Arabidopsis thaliana: one gene and its partners. The protein of the gene in region 1 interacts with the protein of each later gene in a pairwise test. Each region holds a gene or a part of one and is shown on either strand. Other genes may lie near its edges.

Region 1 (3,729 bases):
GGCAATGGAAATGATTGATAGTATGACTGTCGAACCAGATGCTGCAGTTTGGGGTTCTCTATTAGGAGCGTGCAGAACTCACTCGCAGCTGGATGTGGCAGAATTTTGTGCGAAGAAACTCATAGAGATTGAACCGGAGAATTCTGGGACTTACATCTTGCTCTCCAACATGTATGCATCTCAAGGTAGGTGGGCTGACGTTGCAGAACTGAGAAAACTTATGAAGACTAGGTTGGTAAGAAAATCACCAGGTTGTAGCTGGACTGAAGTCGAGAACAAGGTGCATGCATTCACTCGTGGGGGTATTAATAGCCATCCCGAGCAGGAATCTATTTTGAAGATACTGGATGAATTGGATGGGTTATTGAGAGAAGCCGGGTATAATCCTGATTGCAGCTATGCATTGCACGATGTAGACGAGGAAGAGAAAGTCAATAGCCTGAAATATCATAGCGAGAGACTAGCGGTAGCTTATGCTCTTTTAAAGCTATCTGAAGGAATACCCATCCGAGTCATGAAGAACCTTAGAGTTTGTAGTGATTGCCACACAGCAATAAAAATAATCTCTAAGGTGAAAGAGAGGGAGATCATTCTAAGAGATGCAAACAGATTCCATCACTTCAGAAACGGAGAGTGTTCCTGTAAAGATTACTGGTGAGATTCAATAAATGCCAAGCAGAATGTTTTTTTTTAATCTTAGGCTTAGCTATCAATCCTCGTTGGAGCGTTGGCAAAATGGAGTAATTCTCGCAAACCATAGGAACTTGCTCAGCCATTGATGAGAGTTCTCTCTAAGTTCTTCTGCTAATATATATATATTTTTTTACTGATCTTGTTATCAATGTGCATTTGTAGCATTTTCTTCAATATGGTTAATAAGAAGTGATGAACAATCTTCAAGCAAAACTAGAATTCCATGACACATTTGTTTTTGGTACGTAGTTACTAACATTCTTTGTTGCTTATACAGAAACTGAAGAGCTCTTTGTCTCTTGTATGTATGTATGCTACAGAGAAAGATTCAAGTCTAAACAAACGTTAGTCTCAGATCCTTCTTGCTTTTCCTTAGAGCCATCATACTCGTTGGATGCTGAAGAGCTCTCATTAGCTGCTTTTTCAATGTTGTTGGCCTCTGCTTTATTCATGAAAATGAAATCTTCTGGCTGAAACGAAGGGAATCTACGAACCCTTGCTCTTTCTTCTTCTTCCTGTCTCTTCTTCTCCATGGAGCTGTTGACATATTTCCGCATTTCCCTTGCGTTTTTAAGCACTGTGTACAACTTCTCCATCTTTTCTTCTTCGTCATCTTCCTTCTCCATTTTCACCCTCTTTCTGTCTCTGTCCATTGAACCGCTCTCTCTTCCTTCCCCTATGAAAATGTTTCTCTTTAGTTACATCATTTTCATCCTACTTTGATCATCAACACATGATACATCTGGAAGAATTTTCTGGAGGAATTGGTGGAGAAGATATAATTATTGCCTCTAGTGGGAAGACTAACAACATGACCTTATCTAAAAGTCTCTCAGACTTTCTTCTTTCCTTTGGGTGGCTTTGGAGACTTTTCAACACTATTATGGACCCCACCATGATGGACATTCATATAGCAACATGACATACATGTGTACATATGTACAGTCTACAGGGAATGGCACAGCTTCAAGCTAAACAAACACACTTCACAATAACCATTCAGAATCACTCTCATTTGTTTGTTGCTGCATCTATGTTTCTTCTTCAGTCATCTGCCCATGGGACACCGTGCTTGGCCCAAAGATAGTATGCCGCAACTGGTCCTCGTCCACCAAATTCATACAACTCCGGAGCTGTGTGATGCTTGTCTATCTCTTCTAGAACCGGACTAAGAATGTTCCATGCTGCTGCAACCTCATCGCTTCTCATGAACAGATGATTGTCTCCGTCAATTACATCATGAATTAGGTGTTCATATGAGTCTGGTACTTCGGTTTTATACCTACAGGTTTGATCCAACAATTCAACCAACCATAAGGCGCAAAAGTTCGATTTTTAAAATGTGTAGGAACAAAGATGAGAATGCAAAACTTGCCTGTCTTTATAGAGCAAGTTAAGTTCAGAAGCGTCTAGCTGAAGACCTAAACCAGGAACCTTGTTGTTGATTTTCACCAGGATGGCCTCATCAGGTTCGTCACGTAGAATAAGCTCATTTGTCCCCAAATCTATGTTTATTCCAATATTTTCTCGGTATAGGTTTCCAGGAACATGCCGGAATTGCACATGAATCTCCACTCTTTCAACATTAAGGCACACCAATCAATTGTTATGACAGTTGGATATGTCTATGAGTAGGAATAATTATTCTTACCTGTGTTTAATGAGGCCAGTGCCAACTCTTACAAGGAAAGGTACACCATCCCAACGTGCATTATCAATATACAAGGCTGCTGCACAATATGTAGGGTCTACACCGTTCAAGATCACACCGTTCTTGTCTCGGGAACTGGATTTATACTGGCCAAGGATGACATCACGCGGGTCTATCTTGCGAATTGATCTTAAAACCTTCACCTGCAGAAGCAGGTTTGTCACCAAGTCACTTGACAGAACAAGAGTACACAACTTACATATATACCATAAGACGATTTTGTTCTTTACAGTACAGGTTGACCTTTTCATTTCGGATATCTTCACCATCGAGACTTATCGGAGGTTCCATGGCAAGTAATGCGATTGTCTGAAGTATATGGCTGTGCACTATGTCCCGTATTATTCCATATCCATCAGAAAACCTTAAAAAAAGCAGTAGGAAATTAGAAAATAACATTACTGATTTGTCTAAGAATGCTGAAACAACACAATTTACTCTCACATGCAAAGAAATGGTGAAAATAGAACTATTGTGCCTTACTTTTCTGTTTGCGCAATTGATTCTGATATAATAACCTGGAAACATCATTTATACACAAAGTGAACAAACCAGAATGTGGAAGAGGAAAGTTCAGGCACTATACACAACTACAAACAATCAGAAGGAAACACTACCTGTATATTGCGTATGTATGTTCTGTTCCATAGTGGTTCAAAAACTAGATTTGAAAACCTTAACACTGTCAGATTTTCAATGAGGTTTCTTCCTAACATGTGATCTATCCTGTAACGGGCACAGAAGTGTGAAGAAATATGAACTTGAGAGCTGTGCATGCAGAAAGCAACTAGATTTAAAAGAAGGACCTGTAGATTTGCTTCTCTTCAAACTTAGAGAGAAGTGACTTTGTTAACTGATGAGACGAATGTGAGTTAAAACCAAAAGGTTTCTCAACTATTATTCGAGTCCAGCCTCGTGGTGCCTGAGCGTTATCTCCAATGGTGCATGCCACATCCACCAGAGCTTCTTGAGGTACTGAGAGGTAAAAGATTCTATTTGCTTCTGATTCTCCCTGAAGAAGAAAAGCTGTTAATGTCTTATTCTATCTTGCTTGTCTGTTCAAAATGTTGTAAACTCAGAAAGAGGACTACTTCTGGGACAAAATGTAATCATTGAAAGAAAGAAAAAAAGGTACTTAGGAACCTCAATCTGTTTCATTCTCTCGGCAAGTCGGGACATCCCATCCCTGTTATTATAACCTCCATTGATATAGTATGTTCTACTCTGAAATGCATCCATCTTGCCCCCACAATTCTCCCTGAACATTTAGCATCATTCTTTAGCTAGCACGGCCGTATATCAGAGATACCAAATTTAAGGTAGTA
Region 2 (4,912 bases), 7.8 Mb from region 1:
TACGTTGTCTTCAAATTGTTACCACCATTCTTAATCTCTTAAATCTATTAATGAACTGGAACTTTTGCGTGTAGGGTGAGAACCCGAAGAAACCGGGAGCGCCACACAATGTGCGCCTTTACTCAATTGCATCAACAAGGTACGGAGATTTCTTTGACGGTAAAACAGCGAGTTTGTGTGTACGTAGAGCTGTTTATTACGACCCTGAGACTGGAAAAGAAGATCCTTCAAAGAACGGAGTCTGCAGCAACTTCCTATGTGATTCAAAGCCCGGTGACAAGATTCAAATCACCGGTATGTAAACTAATTACCCAACCAACTGATCTCATACTTAAAGACCCCTTGGACTAAGTTTTCTTTTAACTCAATATACATTTCAAAACCAGGTCCATCTGGGAAGGTAATGCTATTACCCGAGAGTGATCCAAACGCGACACACATAATGATAGCCACGGGAACAGGAGTGGCTCCATACAGAGGCTACTTACGTCGAATGTTCATGGAAAACGTCCCAAACAAGACATTTAGCGGCTTAGCTTGGCTCTTCTTAGGCGTGGCCAACACCGATAGCCTTCTCTATGACGAAGAGTTTACCAAGTACCTAAAAGACCATCCAGACAACTTTAGGTTCGACAAGGCATTGAGCAGAGAGGAGAAGAACAAGAAAGGTGGAAAGATGTACGTGCAGGACAAGATTGAAGAATATAGTGATGAGATCTTCAAGCTTTTGGACAATGGAGCTCATATTTACTTCTGTGGGCTTAAAGGAATGATGCCTGGGATTCAAGATACACTTAAGAGAGTTGCAGAAGAGAGAGGTGAGAGCTGGGACTTGAAGCTTTCTCAGCTCAGGAAGAACAAGCAGTGGCACGTTGAAGTCTATTGAGCTCTTTATTTGTATTTGCTGTTTTTGATTTTTGATTTAAGAATCGTAATAAATTTGAATTTGGTGTTTTTCTACTTTTCAAACATGATATGATGATAATATCTGAAATTTGTTGGTTTTGAGAAGAGAATATTCTCAGAGAATAATCAATATATCATTTATGTAGTGACATGAGCCATCAAGAAAACGACGAAAAGGTATATACTATTAAAGTTGAGAATAATCTTATCTTACATGTGCTGCCATAAACCCAACCAAAGGTTATAGAATATTGCATAAAATATTCGAATCGCCTAACGTCATTTTAATGAAAATTTTAGAGAGTTTATAAATCAATAAATCATAATAATCATCGGTTTACCAAAACATAAGTATTTTGAATTTTCGGCTTTTGTTCGGTTATGTAGCTGAACAATTCGAATTAGTGTCATAGATTCATACCGAACCGAGATTACTCTCTTGTCTGATGTCTCTAGAATTCAAACAAATACGAACCGGTTTCGCTATCGATGACTCACACAACAGAAAATACCAATAAGAATCGGGCAACGGGTAGAGGTTAGGTCCCCGTGGACTTAATCAGTAGTGTAAGCGAGCTGCTTCGGTCAGCAAATTTTAGATCTGCCCGTAATCTGCTACGTGCAATCTAAAACGCTTCTCTAATTCTCCACTTGTACGATCGATATTGCGTCCGCATCAATTGTTACAAACTCTGCCGTTTCTTTACTTGCTGAAGACTGAAAACGTCATGACGTTTTATGCTAGTTGAGAAGGACGCTCTGAAGTTTGGGGATATTAAAAGTGCGGAATAACTTGAGGAAGGGAAGAAAACGACACTCTCTCGCTCTCTCTCTGTTCTTCATTTTCAAGAAGAGGCTCTCTAATCGTCGTCAGAGAAAATTGCAGAGAGGTAAATTTTATATATTGGTTTTGAAATTCTTAGCCTTTGATTTGTTTTTTGTTAGAATTTTGCTTTGCTGTTTTAGGATTTAGTAGGACTGTGAGAATTATAGGTTTAATTATGGTTTATCATCTTTTGTTGTTATTTATGAAAGTTGTGGATGTTCTGATTTGGTTCTGTGATTATTCTAAGTAGCTTGACTTGTTTAGTTTAAATATGAGGTTAATGATTTTGTGGGGATTTGATAGTTCTGGTTCTTGAGTTTATTTAAAATAGGTTTACCAGGATCATGTACTGACTCTGTTCTTTGGAACTTTTCAGAATTCTGCTTCGGACATTAAGCTCATGAGTCATGACTTCTTCAATCCATGAGCTTTCTGGTTTTGCTCTCTCTCTTCCTTATTCATTTTATGCTTATATTTTATTTCAAGTTGATTCTGCTTTCAGAAGATAGATTTTTACCTAAGCTTGTTTTATAGTTCATTTGGTTTGCTGTTAATGATTCTTTTGGTGGTGCTCTCTTGTTAAGTTTGGTGTGTTCTTGTCCAGATAACATTGGAAGTCATGAGAAGCAAGAACAGAGAGATTCTCATTTCCAACCACCAATCCCTTCTGCAAGAAATTATGAATCAATTGTTACAAGTTTAGTCTACTCAGACCCGGGGACTACAAATTCCATGGTAAAAATGGAAATGTTTGATCACACCTCTCTTGATTATTGCTAATGAGTTTCGTCCAAATCTTTGATTGCCTTGCCTTTGAAGCTAGCTAATTTGTATTTTTTTGCTCTTCATATGTAGCACCTTCTAGTTGATAATTTCTAGGTTTAACTACTTCTTGGCACCATGACTAATACAATATCACCTTTCTGCATTTTCAGACGATATACAAGTAACAAAATTTTGTTCATGTTTTATGTATGTGTATTCTTATAATTAAAGGCACCTGGACAATATCCATATCCAGATCCTTACTACAGAAGCATATTTGCACCGCCTCCACAACCGTATACCGGGGTATGGTGTATTACTTAGTCCACCCTACGACGATTGTTCTTATCTGGATAAGTTGGATTTATGTTACAAATCATTTCAGGTACATCTACAGTTGATGGGAGTGCAGCAACAAGGCGTTCCTTTACCATCTGATGCAGTCGAGGAACCTGTTTTTGTTAACGCAAAGCAATACCACGGTATACTAAGGCGCAGACAATCAAGAGCAAGACTTGAGTCTCAGAATAAAGTCATCAAGTCACGTAAGGTAAGAAAACTTTTCTTAAATCGTTTATTGGTTATGATATCTTACTTCATTTGTGTAAATCTTGAGAGTGTATTTGTAGCCGTATTTGCATGAATCTCGGCATTTGCATGCGATAAGACGACCAAGAGGATGTGGCGGGCGGTTTCTAAATGCCAAGAAGGAGGATGAGCATCACGAAGACAGTAGTCATGAAGAAAAATCCAACCTTAGCGCTGGTAAATCCGCCATGGCTGCTTCTAGTGGTACATCTTGAGAAGGTCCTACAAGTAGCTTTGTTGTATTTTGGCTCTGTTTGGTCTCAGATCATCTATGTCTTTTAGTGTATGATATATACAAATCTTTGTATAAAGGTATAGATAGGTTCTTGGGAAGCAATTAGGTAAACGTGAAGTGGGTTTTAGACTTGTGATTATTAAATAAAACCCACCGAGGAAAAAGGGAAATAAATAATGTCCATGATGTTTAGTTAAATACAATGCTACTGATATTGTTTTGTTATAAGAAATTTTGGTAATAAAACGAAGAATGGAAGAATCCACAAACAATGACACCAAGGTTGTGGTCTATGTGCAAGAACGGGTGGATGGTCGATATGTATTTCCTCCTCATAGAAGATTAGGTACTATATCTCTCACAGTCTCACTCCAGAACAAGAATCCTTTCTGACTTTCAAGAGGAATATAGAGCCCTATCAACGTTAGTATGGTTATCGTGTCTTGGTTGATGTTGAATACATCAAATGAGATATTGAAGCCATACTTGACTTCGATATTCAAACCTTTGCACCAAGGATCATTTCATATCTACAAGGATTCTATCCACATAATTTCATCTATGATAATGTTATGCAAGTACAATACAACCTCTAAAAAATAATAGTCAATAACTTAATAACCTATATAAATTAATAAATTCTTCGTAATCAAAATTTTGTAATTTCTTGGAATTTCACCCATTTGTAAATTAATTTTATCTCTCATTTTAGACCCAAAAAAAAAAAATCTATTGTGCCACTTGTAAATCAATAATCCAATTAGCTTGTTTTCTTATTATTTGTAGGATCGAGTTGAGGTATCAGACCAAACCTTCTGACGAAACCAGAGACGTTTGAGGAGCGAAGTACATCCACATGTGTTGCTTCTGCCTCCATTTTGTATTTATCGTTGGAAATCTATTTGGAGGGCAGAATTTTTTTGGATTTAGTTTACTCGGTTTTCTACGAAATAGCTCTCCTATTTACAGACAATTGTGCAGAGAAATATTACTTGAATGTGCAACATGATCCTCATAATTAAGAGCTTCTACTTGTATGGTATTTCGATGAGAATCTCTCCATTGTTCTCTACTTCAAATATCAAATTAGCTATCTAGGTAAAAAGTGCCGTTAGATCGAAATCCTTCATAGTAGGTGATGATCAATCTTGTATTTTGCGTATATATATACTTCACATAAGAAATAAATATATTAATTTATATATTTATTTCTGTCCAAAAATCATAGAAAGTTATAAGAAAACCAAAAAAGAATAGAAAAGAAACAATGTTTGGACAAATGGATACAAACCAATTGAAAAATCGTAACCAACCAAAAATACAGGTTGTACCCCCAGCAAAGGCAGACCTGTCTTTGTTTTCTCATAATTTATAGGGAATTTAATAAAAAAAACCCTCAACTTTGGCCAGATCCATTTTTAAACCCTGAACTATATTTTTAGTAAAACAAACCCTGAACTAAAACCTGTTAATAAACTTAACCCCACAGTAATTAAATATTAATGGGATATTAATTTCCAAAAATCGACCAAAGAACAATGACAGAATCCGTGATCCAACTGAAGATCGTCCACCTCAAAAAGTTCTTTATA
Region 3 (5,865 bases), on another chromosome or scaffold:
AAATATAAAAAAGTTCATCATATACAGGTTCATACATTTTAGATGCTTTGGGACAAATTTAAAAGATATATTCCTTAATATCATAATTTTTTTATATACTTCTTCTTTTAACAAAAACATTAGGTGCCTTTTGAGTATATACAAAAAACAAATTGTGTCCATCTTGTATAGATTTTTTTTTTTGTGCCCTATAAATTTATGTATATGTAGTTATGTACCCTATAAGTTTATATTATCGGCCCCTATAGTTAAGCCGGCATTGACTATATATTTTTATGGAAAATTTAAGAGTTTTCTTTTTGTTTTGTTATTTTTCTTTTTAATTGTTTCATCAAGTTAAGTTTCGTTTCCAATTCCTCTTAGAATGATTTTTATCTCTTGTGTTAGGTCACGCTTTACTAGTTTACACTCCTCTTTAGAATGATTTATCTCTTGTATGAGTTTTGTTTTTGTCTTTTTGTTAAGAATTTAAATATTCCACTAAAATGAAAAGTGTTAGGATTTTCATGAAGTAAAGCCTGAAGTTTTTGGTCTTATGGCAAAAAAAGAAAAAAACATGAAAACAAAAGAAATCAATCCATTGACATCAACAAAACAAATTACGTTTTTGAGTCATAAAGTGATATAACAATTTTGAATAACTACCAATATATATGTCCTCAATCTTGTGTGAGTTCAAGGCTTTATGGGTTACATCGTTATACTTAGTTTATGTAAGAAATTTGTAAATTTGAATGGGTTAAAACTTCTGATCTAAATAACGAATTGGTAGGAAACTTTTTTTTGTCTTGTTAATATTTGATGGTTTTAGCCAAAGTAATACATAAAATAATTATTTAGTGACCAAAACTTATCGCATATTTGATGATTTAAGCCATAGTAATATGATTTGTATTAGTGACGTTGATGGTTTAATATATGATTTAGTGATACTTAGTGAACGAAAGATACAAATTAACATATGGTTTACCAAAGTAACGCAGCGTCACTAGTGACCAAAACTTAGCGTATATTTGATAGTTTAAGTCAAAGTAATATACTAATATGATTTGTATTAGTGACGTTGCATTGTCACTATCCAAGTTTACACTTATATGTTATTTTTTGTTAAAAATATATATTTATAGTTAGAATTCTATATTCGATAGCATTACCGAAAGTCGAAAATTTAATCATAGGAATCATTGCCAATCGAAATAATGCTAATTAAATTTTATTTCATATAAAAATTTGATGAATAAACTATTCAACGACTATCCTTAAAGAGTTTTTTTTTTTTTAATAGTCAGCTAACGCATTTCACCGATTGTATTTGTAGCCTTGTAGGTAGAGTCGAATTTCCGACGCGACTAGAATGCTAGCATAAGAGACTTCACCACTTTGTTACGAAGCCAAGAATCTTCTTGTTTTAAAAAAAAAAATCAAGACAAAATTGTCGTCCCTCATATCTATATTCAATTCATTTCAAAACGTTATTTATGTCTTAAAATTTGGAACTAGGCCACAAAGAATGACTTTGGTCATCACAAAATTATAAATTTAATAAAAATTTGGACCACTATAGGCATAGCTATTGCCTATTATAATCTCTACTATTACTTTATGATTTATCTACTATTCCGAAAGTGTAATTGTTTAATACGTCATCACATTGCAGCAATCCACACACAAGCCACGTCATTCATATGCCGTTCGTATTTGCTTTCGTCACTTCCTTCCGTCATCAATAGTGACGGCTATTTCTTAATATTAATCTTCTTGACTTAATGCTATTTCGTGACGGCATTAATTGGCATATCATTACAAGTTATTTACACCTAAGAAACAAATTAAAACTATTGAATAATATGATGTAAATAAAAATATATTAATGATGTGATATATCGCAGTCAAATAAAAATAGTGATTTTGATGAGAAAAAAAATATGTGTTTATCCATAGATTTGTTAAATTAGAGAAAGATGTGGAAAATGTTAGTGAGTGGCGTCATACACGGAGAACCTTTGGCATCATACACGGATTTTTCTAGTCTTTGTTTTCTATTTGTCAACTTTCATTTGAGTCTTTCTTTATACACTTTATTAGACCATGTTTTTAATTCTAATGCTTATTAATTCATATTATTAAATTTACAAAAAAAACTATTATATTAACTCTCTTGTTTCCTCTGTATCTTCCTTCACATTGAAGCTGTCTCTTTCTTTCACCATCACTTGCACCTGTTGTGTCCTGTTTGTTCTCAATTTCATCATCATTTATCCTTTATATACCTCTCTTTCTTTCTTGACTTTTCCTCTAAATTCTCTTCCTTTTTATCTCTTTGATACATCTCAATTTGGTTCTTTTGCCTTCTCTTTGATCTTATCTCTTACGATTGTGCAGATCTCAATCTCTATATCCTTGGTTGTGTCAGATTCTCTTAGGGTTTATTTTCTCTCCCAATTTTGTTTGATTCCTTGTCCAAAGTTTCTTCCTTTCCTTTTGACTTTTTTTTGTGGTACATTGAATCAGAGGTGTAAGAGTAATAGTTTCATAACTCAAATCCCCAAGTGTACAAATTTTCCTCTTTTGGTTCTGGGTTTGGTTGATTCCTTGTTAGAAATGTAAATTTAGGGCTTTTGTATCTGAAACCGATCTTCAGACTTGTGTAATCTTCTTGATCTTCATGCAAGATTGATAATTCTACAAGAAGAAGAAGAAGAGAAAATGGCTACTTTGACTGAGCCATCATCATCTTTGAGTTTCACATCTTCTCATTTCTCTTATGGTTCTATTGGGTCCAATCACTTCTCATCAAGCTCAGCTTCTAATCCTGAAGTTGTTAGTCTAACCAAACTCAGCTCCAATCTTGAGCAGCTTCTTAGTAATTCAGATTGTGATTACAGTGATGCAGAGATCATTGTTGATGGTGTTCCAGTTGGTGTTCATAGATGCATTTTAGCTGCAAGAAGTAAGTTTTTCCAAGATTTGTTTAAGAAAGAAAAGAAAATTTCGAAAACTGAGAAACCAAAGTATCAGTTGAGAGAGATGTTACCTTATGGAGCTGTTGCTCATGAAGCTTTCTTGTATTTCTTGAGTTATATATATACTGGGAGATTAAAGCCTTTTCCATTGGAGGTTTCGACTTGTGTTGATCCAGTTTGTTCTCATGATTGTTGTCGACCTGCCATTGATTTTGTTGTTCAATTGATGTATGCTTCCTCTGTTCTCCAAGTGCCTGAGCTAGTTTCATCTTTTCAGGTGTGTGAAAAGTCTTCTTTTTTCTTCGGTCTCTTTGTTTCTTAATTCATAGACCTCAATGAGAACTAAAAGGTTTGTGTGCTTGCAGCGGCGGCTTTGTAACTTTGTGGAGAAGACCCTTGTTGAGAATGTTCTTCCCATTCTTATGGTTGCTTTCAATTGTAAGTTGACTCAGCTTCTTGATCAGTGTATTGAGAGAGTGGCGAGGTCAGATCTTTACAGGTTCTGTATTGAAAAGGAAGTTCCTCCCGAAGTAGCAGAGAAGATTAAACAGCTTCGACTTATATCCCCGCAAGACGAAGAAACCAGTCCCAAGATTTCGGAGAAATTGCTTGAAAGAATCGGTAAAATTCTCAAGGCCTTGGATTCAGATGATGTTGAGCTTGTGAAGCTTCTTTTGACTGAGTCAGATATCACTCTAGATCAAGCCAATGGTCTGCATTATTCTGTTGTGTATAGTGATCCGAAAGTTGTTGCCGAGATTCTTGCTCTGGATATGGGTGATGTGAACTACAGGAATTCCCGGGGTTACACGGTTCTTCATTTTGCTGCGATGCGTAGAGAGCCATCGATCATTATATCGCTTATCGATAAAGGCGCCAATGCATCTGAGTTTACATCTGACGGACGTAGCGCAGTTAATATATTAAGAAGACTGACAAATCCAAAGGATTATCATACCAAAACAGCTAAAGGGCGTGAATCTAGTAAAGCCAGGTTATGCATCGATATCTTGGAAAGAGAAATCAGGAAGAACCCCATGGTTCTAGATACACCAATGTGTTCCATTTCTATGCCTGAAGATCTCCAGATGAGACTGTTGTACCTAGAAAAGAGAGGTAATTGACTGAAAATTACTGAATTCTTCTGTATCTTTACTACATTTTTGTTAAAGCTTCTACCTTTTTTGCAGTGGGGCTTGCTCAGTTGTTCTTTCCAACGGAAGCTAAAGTTGCTATGGACATTGGTAACGTAGAAGGTACAAGTGAGTTCACGGGTTTGTCACCTCCTTCGAGTGGGTTAACCGGAAACTTGAGTCAGGTTGATTTAAACGAAACTCCTCATATGCAAACCCAAAGACTTCTTACTCGTATGGTGGCTCTAATGAAAACAGGTAACAAAAAGCTTGCTCTCTGTAAGTCTACCCTTCATCTTCTTATGTTGCTCATTTTCTCTTGACTGACTTCATTACCGTTTCACAATGCAGTTGAGACTGGTCGAAGGTTTTTTCCATATGGTTCAGAGGTTCTAGATAAGTACATGGCTGAGTATATAGACGACGACATCCTCGACGATTTCCATTTTGAGAAGGGATCTACACATGAAAGAAGATTGAAAAGAATGAGATATAGAGAGCTTAAGGATGATGTCCAAAAGGCATATAGCAAAGACAAAGAGTCTAAGATTGCGCGGTCTTGTCTTTCTGCTTCATCTTCTCCTTCTTCTTCTTCCATAAGAGATGACCTGCACAACACAACATGAAACTGCACCATAAGTCAAATGTAATTAGATATCTTTGTTAAAAGGGTTTTTTCTTTATGGATGTTACTCAGATTTTATACAGATGCTTTAGGTTCAGTTTCAATAAAGAGAGATGGATAGATAGATGTACAAGATTAGGAGTGCTGATTAACCCAAAACGTTCTAACTATACGCAATCTTTTGTTTTCAATACAAAAATCTAATATTTAGGTTATCTACAAGATATTCTCAGATACCTGAAACTTAAACAAACAAAGACACTCCACAAAAAGTCAGGAAAAAACATGATCATTTGTCAATCATAGCTATCTCTTTACATAATTACAGAAGATAAGACTACTGGTGGCTAAGAGTAAAGAACAAAAACCATTCTTCCAAACAACCTGTAATAATGCATTCTGAACAGAACTGTCACATGTATGTCCCAGTAAGTAGATGTTAGCTGCTCTCTTTGGCATAGGGTCGGGGCAGGGGCTTGTCTGACCAATACTGTCTATCTGTCTTCTTCAACAAAGAAAGCATTTCAAGTTGCATTATATGTTAAGTGTGCCTTTCCAACATCGTAAAGCAATAGAAGAATATTGTACCAACGAAGGACTGTGCCTTTCCAATTTGTCACTCTGTTCAGTCCAGTCTAAAATTCACTTCACTGAGTTCAGTGGCGTTTCAACATTACGGAGAGCCTTTGTTCTTTCAGCTTTCTCGAAGTCCTTCCTTGTTCGTTTGTTGGCATCTATATCTATACTGATGAGTAGAGAGGTACAATCAAATCCACAGGCGGAAATACTTCACTATGCATCGACATATTCTGTGATCCTCTCCATCGCACTGAGAATTTCCAGGTTTCACTGGTTGTGAGCTAAGCAATGAGAAAATGTTATAGATCAACAGACATCTGCACTAGATTGAAGATAACGTTATATCATTGAACGGACCAGTTAATCAGGTAGATGCTTTCTTTATATTTTCCCAAGTAGCTGGACCTTCCGGGTGGGTATTGACAAAGTATGGCACAATAAGGGTATTAGAAATACCGACAACAGTGCCTAGTGTCAGCCTCGGTATTACTGCATCTCTTTCCCTCAACCAAATGTACATTGTGAATCTCTGATGTATTCTCTTCATACTATAACACAAATATGT
Region 4 (5,506 bases), on another chromosome or scaffold:
AGATATTTAAAACTAAAAAAAGCAACCTAGTTATTGCTGGCTATCTTTTTAAATTGAGAAGTTAACATCTTGTCAAGTGAATCGTGTAATATTGTTATACTCTAAAGATCGATATTATTGTGTCTACCAGTCAAAACATGTGTTGGAGGGAAATTTTATTTGTAGGTTCATCATATGTCAGGAACATTATTGTCATGTTTCTGTAAGCTTTCTGACATTTAAGTTCAGATTTTGACCATAAGTTTTGATCATAAATGAGAAAAGAACAAAGTTAAGTTTAGTTTTGCGAATGTTAAAAAAAATAAATATCTTATTTGCACTTTTTGAATTATTTACCAAATATAAAAACCAAGATGGTGTTTTTTTTGTAATACCAAAAAAGAGAGAATTTTAGCTACGAGAGAATGCAAAATTCGGATTTGTGATCCGTTTTATTGAAAAAGATTTTAGTTTCATAGAACATATATCAAGTAGTATACAAATTGAAAAATAGGGTCTGATAGATCCGAGACACTTGGGTATTATCACCTAACTTTTAAACGTTTATGCCAGTTTTTTGACAAACAAATCACGAAGTATTTGAGGATAAATACAGTATTTGTTTATGTTTTCTATCTTTTTTTAGGAGGATGAGTTCATTGGTTTGATCTTAAACAATTGAAAATTTATAGGTTACCACCAATTTTGCGATTTTTTTTCTTCTTCTATACTTTAGATTTAAGTTTATATATAGATATTTTCGTTTGATATCAATATGGGAAGCCCACAAAGTTGGGGAGTTTAGTGGTACCTTTTTTTTTGGTTCACAATTGCATACGAATATTGGGGAGTTTAGTGGTACTATTGCATACGAATATTGGAGATACGAGAAAGGGGTGGAAAAAATTGATGATAAATTGAGCCCAAGTAGGAAACAATACACAAGGCCGTATATAAAGTTGGCATGTTGGGTTCAATACATGAGGCCGTCTTTTTGTTCGGCCGCGGCCAGTGGTGAACACTGAATATGGCCTTTTGAGACTCCGAGGGGACAATTATAATCCAACACTAAAATACATCTCTAAACTCTATTTGCCAACTAATTTCTTTATTTAAAATACGTTTCAATCTAATCAAAACAGATAAGCCTGTTAAACACAATTTTGATTTCTCGAGACTACGAATAGGTGGATCTATTTGTATCATAACATCATAACATATAAATCGATATTTAAAATTTTGAGTAATAAATTTGATGTTGGTCTCTAACAATTTGCGGGTAATTTCTTGATATTTTGGACATCACCCGAACATATTAGCTCATTACACACCAATTTCTATAGAGGCAACATATTTTCTTATCATTAAAGTTGACAGCTATTAGAGCCCTTAATCACGTTTGATTTCATATCTAATTCCAAATTATATGGATATAACAACAGCATAGCATATAAATTGATATGTGTAGCATTAGGTTATATCTTTGACCGGGAAATGCATTGGCAGGCCATTATACTGGGAAGATGCATTCGCATATATATTAGTAGGTGTACTTAGTAATCGTCTACTTGACATAATTAAAATTACCGGTCAAAAACACGAGATATATAGGAACTCATATTGTGTGGATATATATATTAGTTTACATGTGTATTTATGGATAAGGTTATAACGAATTCAACAAATTCTCAAGGTCCTATGAAATTTCAACAAGTATATTACAGTTTTTTTTTTATATATGGCTTTTCTTCTCCCATGTTTCGGCTGTCTACGAAGAGACATTTGGCTTTTCATATTGGGATATTGAAAAATACATTTTCAACGTTTTATATATGATTTTGTGTGGGTGAAATTAATACTTACAGAACAAAAGAGCTCATGCACGTTTAGTGTTATTTTGGCGGCTGTTTTTAAGGATTTGCATATATTCTTTCCCACGTATTGAATTCTATAAATGACATAATAATCAAACTTGTAAAAATAATAGAATGAATAGTTTATAGTCTTCCAAAATTCGATTTCTGTTGTAGTGGAATCGCAGACATTTTCTAACTTATGAATGTTGTTATAGGACTTCTTTAAACCTTGGTTGGATATACCCAAATAAATATAAAGTTCACACGAAAAAAACTTGGAATCACATCCAGGAATATTCACCACTGGATCAATACTACTATACAACAAGGGAAAAAAAAATATTTAACTTGGGAAGGTATATACTTATTTTATAAACAAAAGCAAGATTCGCCTTGTAATGCGACGGCCCGACTTCTCTCTTTCAAATAATGATCCTTGAGAAACCCTATAGAGCCATATATACGTTGTCTTTATAAAGAGACATAACTCATCTCTTCTTGACTAACTTTATAGTTAAAGTTATCAATTATTCGAAAACAAAGCTGGTTTTTTGTTTTGTCCCTTAAACCAGCATGATCAAGAACTTAAGTAATATGAAGAATGACAATCAGAAACGTGAAAAATGTTGCGAGTACATCGAAGCTCTCGAAGAAGAACGTCGCAAGATCAATGTTTTCCAACGCGAGCTTCCTCTTTGCGTAGAGCTCGTGACTCAAGGTACATACATATGCATTTACATTTCATATAAGATATAATGAGTTTATATATATGGATTAAATGTTAGATCTAAAGATTTTTAAAAAATGTTTTATGGAATTTAGCGATTGAGGCGTATAAGAGGGAGATATCAGGGACGTCGACGGATAACTTATACGGACAGTCGGAGTGCTCAGAGCAGACCACCGGAGAATGTGGGCGCATCTTGGATCTGTTCATACCAATCAAACACTCTTCGACCTCCATAGAAGAAGAGGTTGATGACAAAGATGATGATGATGAAGAACACCAGTCTCATGAAACCGACATAGATTTTGATGACAAGAACATGAAATCTGAATGGCTCAAGTCTGTTCAGCTCTGGAACCAATCCGACGCAGTTGTTTCTAATAATAGACAGGTAAGATTTTTATTTTATTTTATTTTTTCTTTGTTTACATTTGTGTTTTTGTTTGCCTTGAATTACATTTACTGTATTGTTTCCAAACCAGCCTATTGACGTTGTTAATTGTTAACGTAAAGACTAAACGCATAACCTTCTGTGTACTTTATGCGATTGTGTTTGTAACTTACAACTTCACAAATAGATTATTCTTTTTTCTTCCAGTTTTTGTTTTTTTTAATAGACCGAAAAAGGATGGGTGCACAAAAAGATAGTAAATTGCTCACAAAAAGATTTTGTTTTGTAATTTAAGTTTCTAATAGCATTTTGCGTATTCAGGATCGCTCACAAGAAAAGACAGAGACGCTGGTAGAGTTGATAAAAATAAACGATGAAGCAGCGAAGAAAAACAACAACATAAAATCACCGGTGACTACTAGCGATGGTGGCAGTGGCGGTGGCGGTGGCAGAAGAGGGCAGAGAAAGAATAGGCGGTGTTGGTCGCAAGAGTTACACAGACGCTTCTTGAACGCTCTTAAACAACTTGGTGGCCCTCATGGTGCGTTTCTTGGTTTTAAGTTAAAACATATATATCAGTAGTCATATCTTTTTGTTAGGGCTCATGAAGTTTAATTAATTCGTAATGACCTTTTTGTTCACTAAATTTTGAAGTAGCTACGCCGAAACAGATAAGAGATATAATGAAGGTTGATGGGTTAACAAATGATGAAGTCAAAAGTCATTTACAGGTTAGTAAATCATATTCCATGAAAAATACATGTAACTAATATGTAAAAGGTATATATTAATTTCATCATTTTAGTTACAAATGTTTTTATAATTTAGAAGGAAAATAATATTTATTGTTTCATATTTTTTTTAATGATAAATAGAAATATAGGCTGCATGCAAGACGGCCAAGCCAAACAACACCGAACAACAGAAACTCTCAAACGCAACATTTCGTGGTGGTTGGTGGAATATGGGTCCCACAGACTAACCATTCAACGGCCAACGCAGTCAACGCCGTCGCATCGGGTGAGACCACCGGGATTTATGGGCCTATGGTCAGTTCGTTGCCGTCCGAGTGGCCGAGGCATTCCAATTTTGGTAGGAAGATTTCGGAAGATAGATCAAGATGCTCTAACAACGGATTTTTTCGGTGTAGCTCACCAGCTATGTCTTGTTCTACTCGTACAAAGACGAAAGATGCAAAAATAATATCATAAATTTAATTTTTGATTATTTATTAAGAGAAAAAAGTTATAGACATTAATATTGTGAAGAGTGTATATATATAGATGTTGGAGCGTGACTCTATGTTATTTTTAGTTTCTTGGTTTTTTTCTATTAGCCGATGATATCTTTGATCAAAGATCCATATTAGCTAATGCATACTATATTTTTTTACGTCGTGCAATATGCATATCGATGATAATAAGTTAATAACACAAAATTATTAGATTACTAGTTGAAGAATCGTATATAGAAAGAATCGTAATTATATGTAGAATGATGGTATATTATCAGCATATATTTTTATAGAGGCTTTAGCCACCAAAATTAATAAATGTCAGTCACAAACTCAAATTAATTAATTTCGTCCTTAACATATGTATGTCGGCCAGGTTTCTATTTGCTATAGTAATATAAGATACACAGAAACATTGTAGAAATGTAAAATGTCTTCGAAAACAGAAGAAAAATACATATATAAACTTTTTTGAATGAAAATAAAAAAAATTATGCCATACAGAAGGATCGGAACTCGGTAGAATATGCCGGAATCTGAAGAGCATAATCTGCAAATATGTTTTTCAGGTTAAACTTTATTCTCTTGTTGCTTGTACTGGATATTAACACAAATGTGCACGTTGGGCTCCTTCTCGTGGAGTGAATTATTCTTTATTTGTTCCTTTTACTTTTGTAAATACAATTTTTCCATATAAGTATATAACTGTGTAAATATTAAACCCAAAATATGTTAAAAGACAAGTTTTTTTGTAACTTAAGGGCAAGAAACAAGGTGTAAAGCCACATGAAAATTGCTGACCATTCTAACTCTCGACACTACTATACAATTAATATCTCTTGACTTGTACTCATTCTCTATAACAACAACAATTGTTGGGTTTTCTTGTTCGCTCTCACTGTTGTTTATTAAGTGTTGTTCGTTTGCGAGGTTTTCTGAATCAATAATCAAAATGATTTCGATTGATAAGTTATCCTTTAATCAAAATTTCTTGGTTCCTATGGTTTCATCACCTCAAACATAAAAAAATCATACCAAGTTGTTAAATATCTTTAAAAATTCCTACCAAGTTACTAAATAAGTGTTCACAAATTTAGGGATCCTTTCATGTGACTCTATGAGCCATGTGACCTATTTTTCTACTACCTTTATAACAAATGGGGCTACAGTTTTAATAATATTCTTACTGATAATTTAATTTGAATACGAAGACCATTGGGAAACTTGAACATTGAGAAAGGCTATTGGAGTTCCCGAGATGGCGGTTTGATCTATTTCAAATCTTCAATAATATTACTATTATCAAATACTTCTTTGAT

The links.
Region 2: the proteins of NIMIN-3 (region 1) and NF-YA7 interact in binary tests that used the Arabidopsis thaliana proteins (3 or more experiments, as listed by UniProt).
Region 3: the proteins of NIMIN-3 (region 1) and NPR3 interact in binary tests that used the Arabidopsis thaliana proteins (3 or more experiments, as listed by UniProt).
Region 4: the proteins of NIMIN-3 (region 1) and AT3G25790 interact in binary tests that used the Arabidopsis thaliana proteins (3 or more experiments, as listed by UniProt).

What each region holds. Positions count from the first base shown.
Region 1 is NC_003070.9:3,036,903-3,040,631, forward strand, and holds NIMIN-3 (NIM1-interacting 3), read right to left. Parts: upstream 1,507-3,729; 5' UTR 1,347-1,506; coding exon 1,008-1,346; 3' UTR 852-1,007; downstream 1-851. Other genes in the region: AT1G09410 (pentatricopeptide (PPR) repeat-containing protein), read left to right, coding at 1-658; G6PD4 (glucose-6-phosphate dehydrogenase 4), read right to left, coding at 1,738-1,975, 2,069-2,269, 2,345-2,541, 2,612-2,768, 2,888-2,922, 3,022-3,130, 3,211-3,416, 3,548-3,662.
Region 2 is NC_003070.9:10,803,124-10,808,035, reverse strand, and holds NF-YA7 (nuclear factor Y, subunit A7), read left to right. Parts: upstream 1-1,607; 5' UTR 1,608-1,796; intron 1,797-2,108; 5' UTR 2,109-2,139; coding exon 2,140-2,167; intron 2,168-2,336; coding exon 2,337-2,467; intron 2,468-2,728; coding exon 2,729-2,803; intron 2,804-2,882; coding exon 2,883-3,047; intron 3,048-3,126; coding exon 3,127-3,300; 3' UTR 3,301-3,586; downstream 3,587-4,912. Other genes in the region: RFNR2 (root FNR 2), read left to right, coding at 75-294, 387-886. UniProt on the Arabidopsis thaliana protein: Stimulates the transcription of various genes by recognizing and binding to a CCAAT motif in promoters.
Region 3 is NC_003076.8:18,226,613-18,232,477, forward strand, and holds NPR3 (NPR1-like protein 3), read left to right. Parts: upstream 1-2,155; 5' UTR 2,156-2,706; coding exon 2,707-3,240; intron 3,241-3,328; coding exon 3,329-4,079; intron 4,080-4,153; coding exon 4,154-4,354; coding exon of another isoform or gene 4,355-4,419; exon of another isoform or gene 4,420-4,447; coding exon 4,448-4,722; 3' UTR 4,723-4,966; downstream 4,967-5,865. Other genes in the region: AT5G45113 (mitochondrial transcription termination factor-related / mTERF-like protein), read right to left, coding at 5,665-5,865. UniProt on the Arabidopsis thaliana protein: Salicylic acid (SA)-binding substrate-specific adapter of an E3 ubiquitin-protein ligase complex (CUL3-RBX1-BTB) which mediates the ubiquitination and subsequent proteasomal degradation of NPR1 in response to SA.
Region 4 is NC_003074.8:9,410,788-9,416,293, forward strand, and holds AT3G25790 (myb-like transcription factor family protein), read left to right. Parts: upstream 1-2,264; 5' UTR 2,265-2,408; coding exon 2,409-2,553; intron 2,554-2,657; coding exon 2,658-2,953; intron 2,954-3,274; coding exon 3,275-3,494; intron 3,495-3,607; coding exon 3,608-3,684; coding exon of another isoform or gene 3,685-3,723; exon of another isoform or gene 3,724-3,828; coding exon 3,829-4,164; 3' UTR 4,165-4,453; downstream 4,454-5,506. UniProt on the Arabidopsis thaliana protein: Probable factor involved in nitrate and phosphate signaling in roots. Integrates nitrate and phosphate starvation responses and adaptation of root architecture, depending on nutrient availabilities.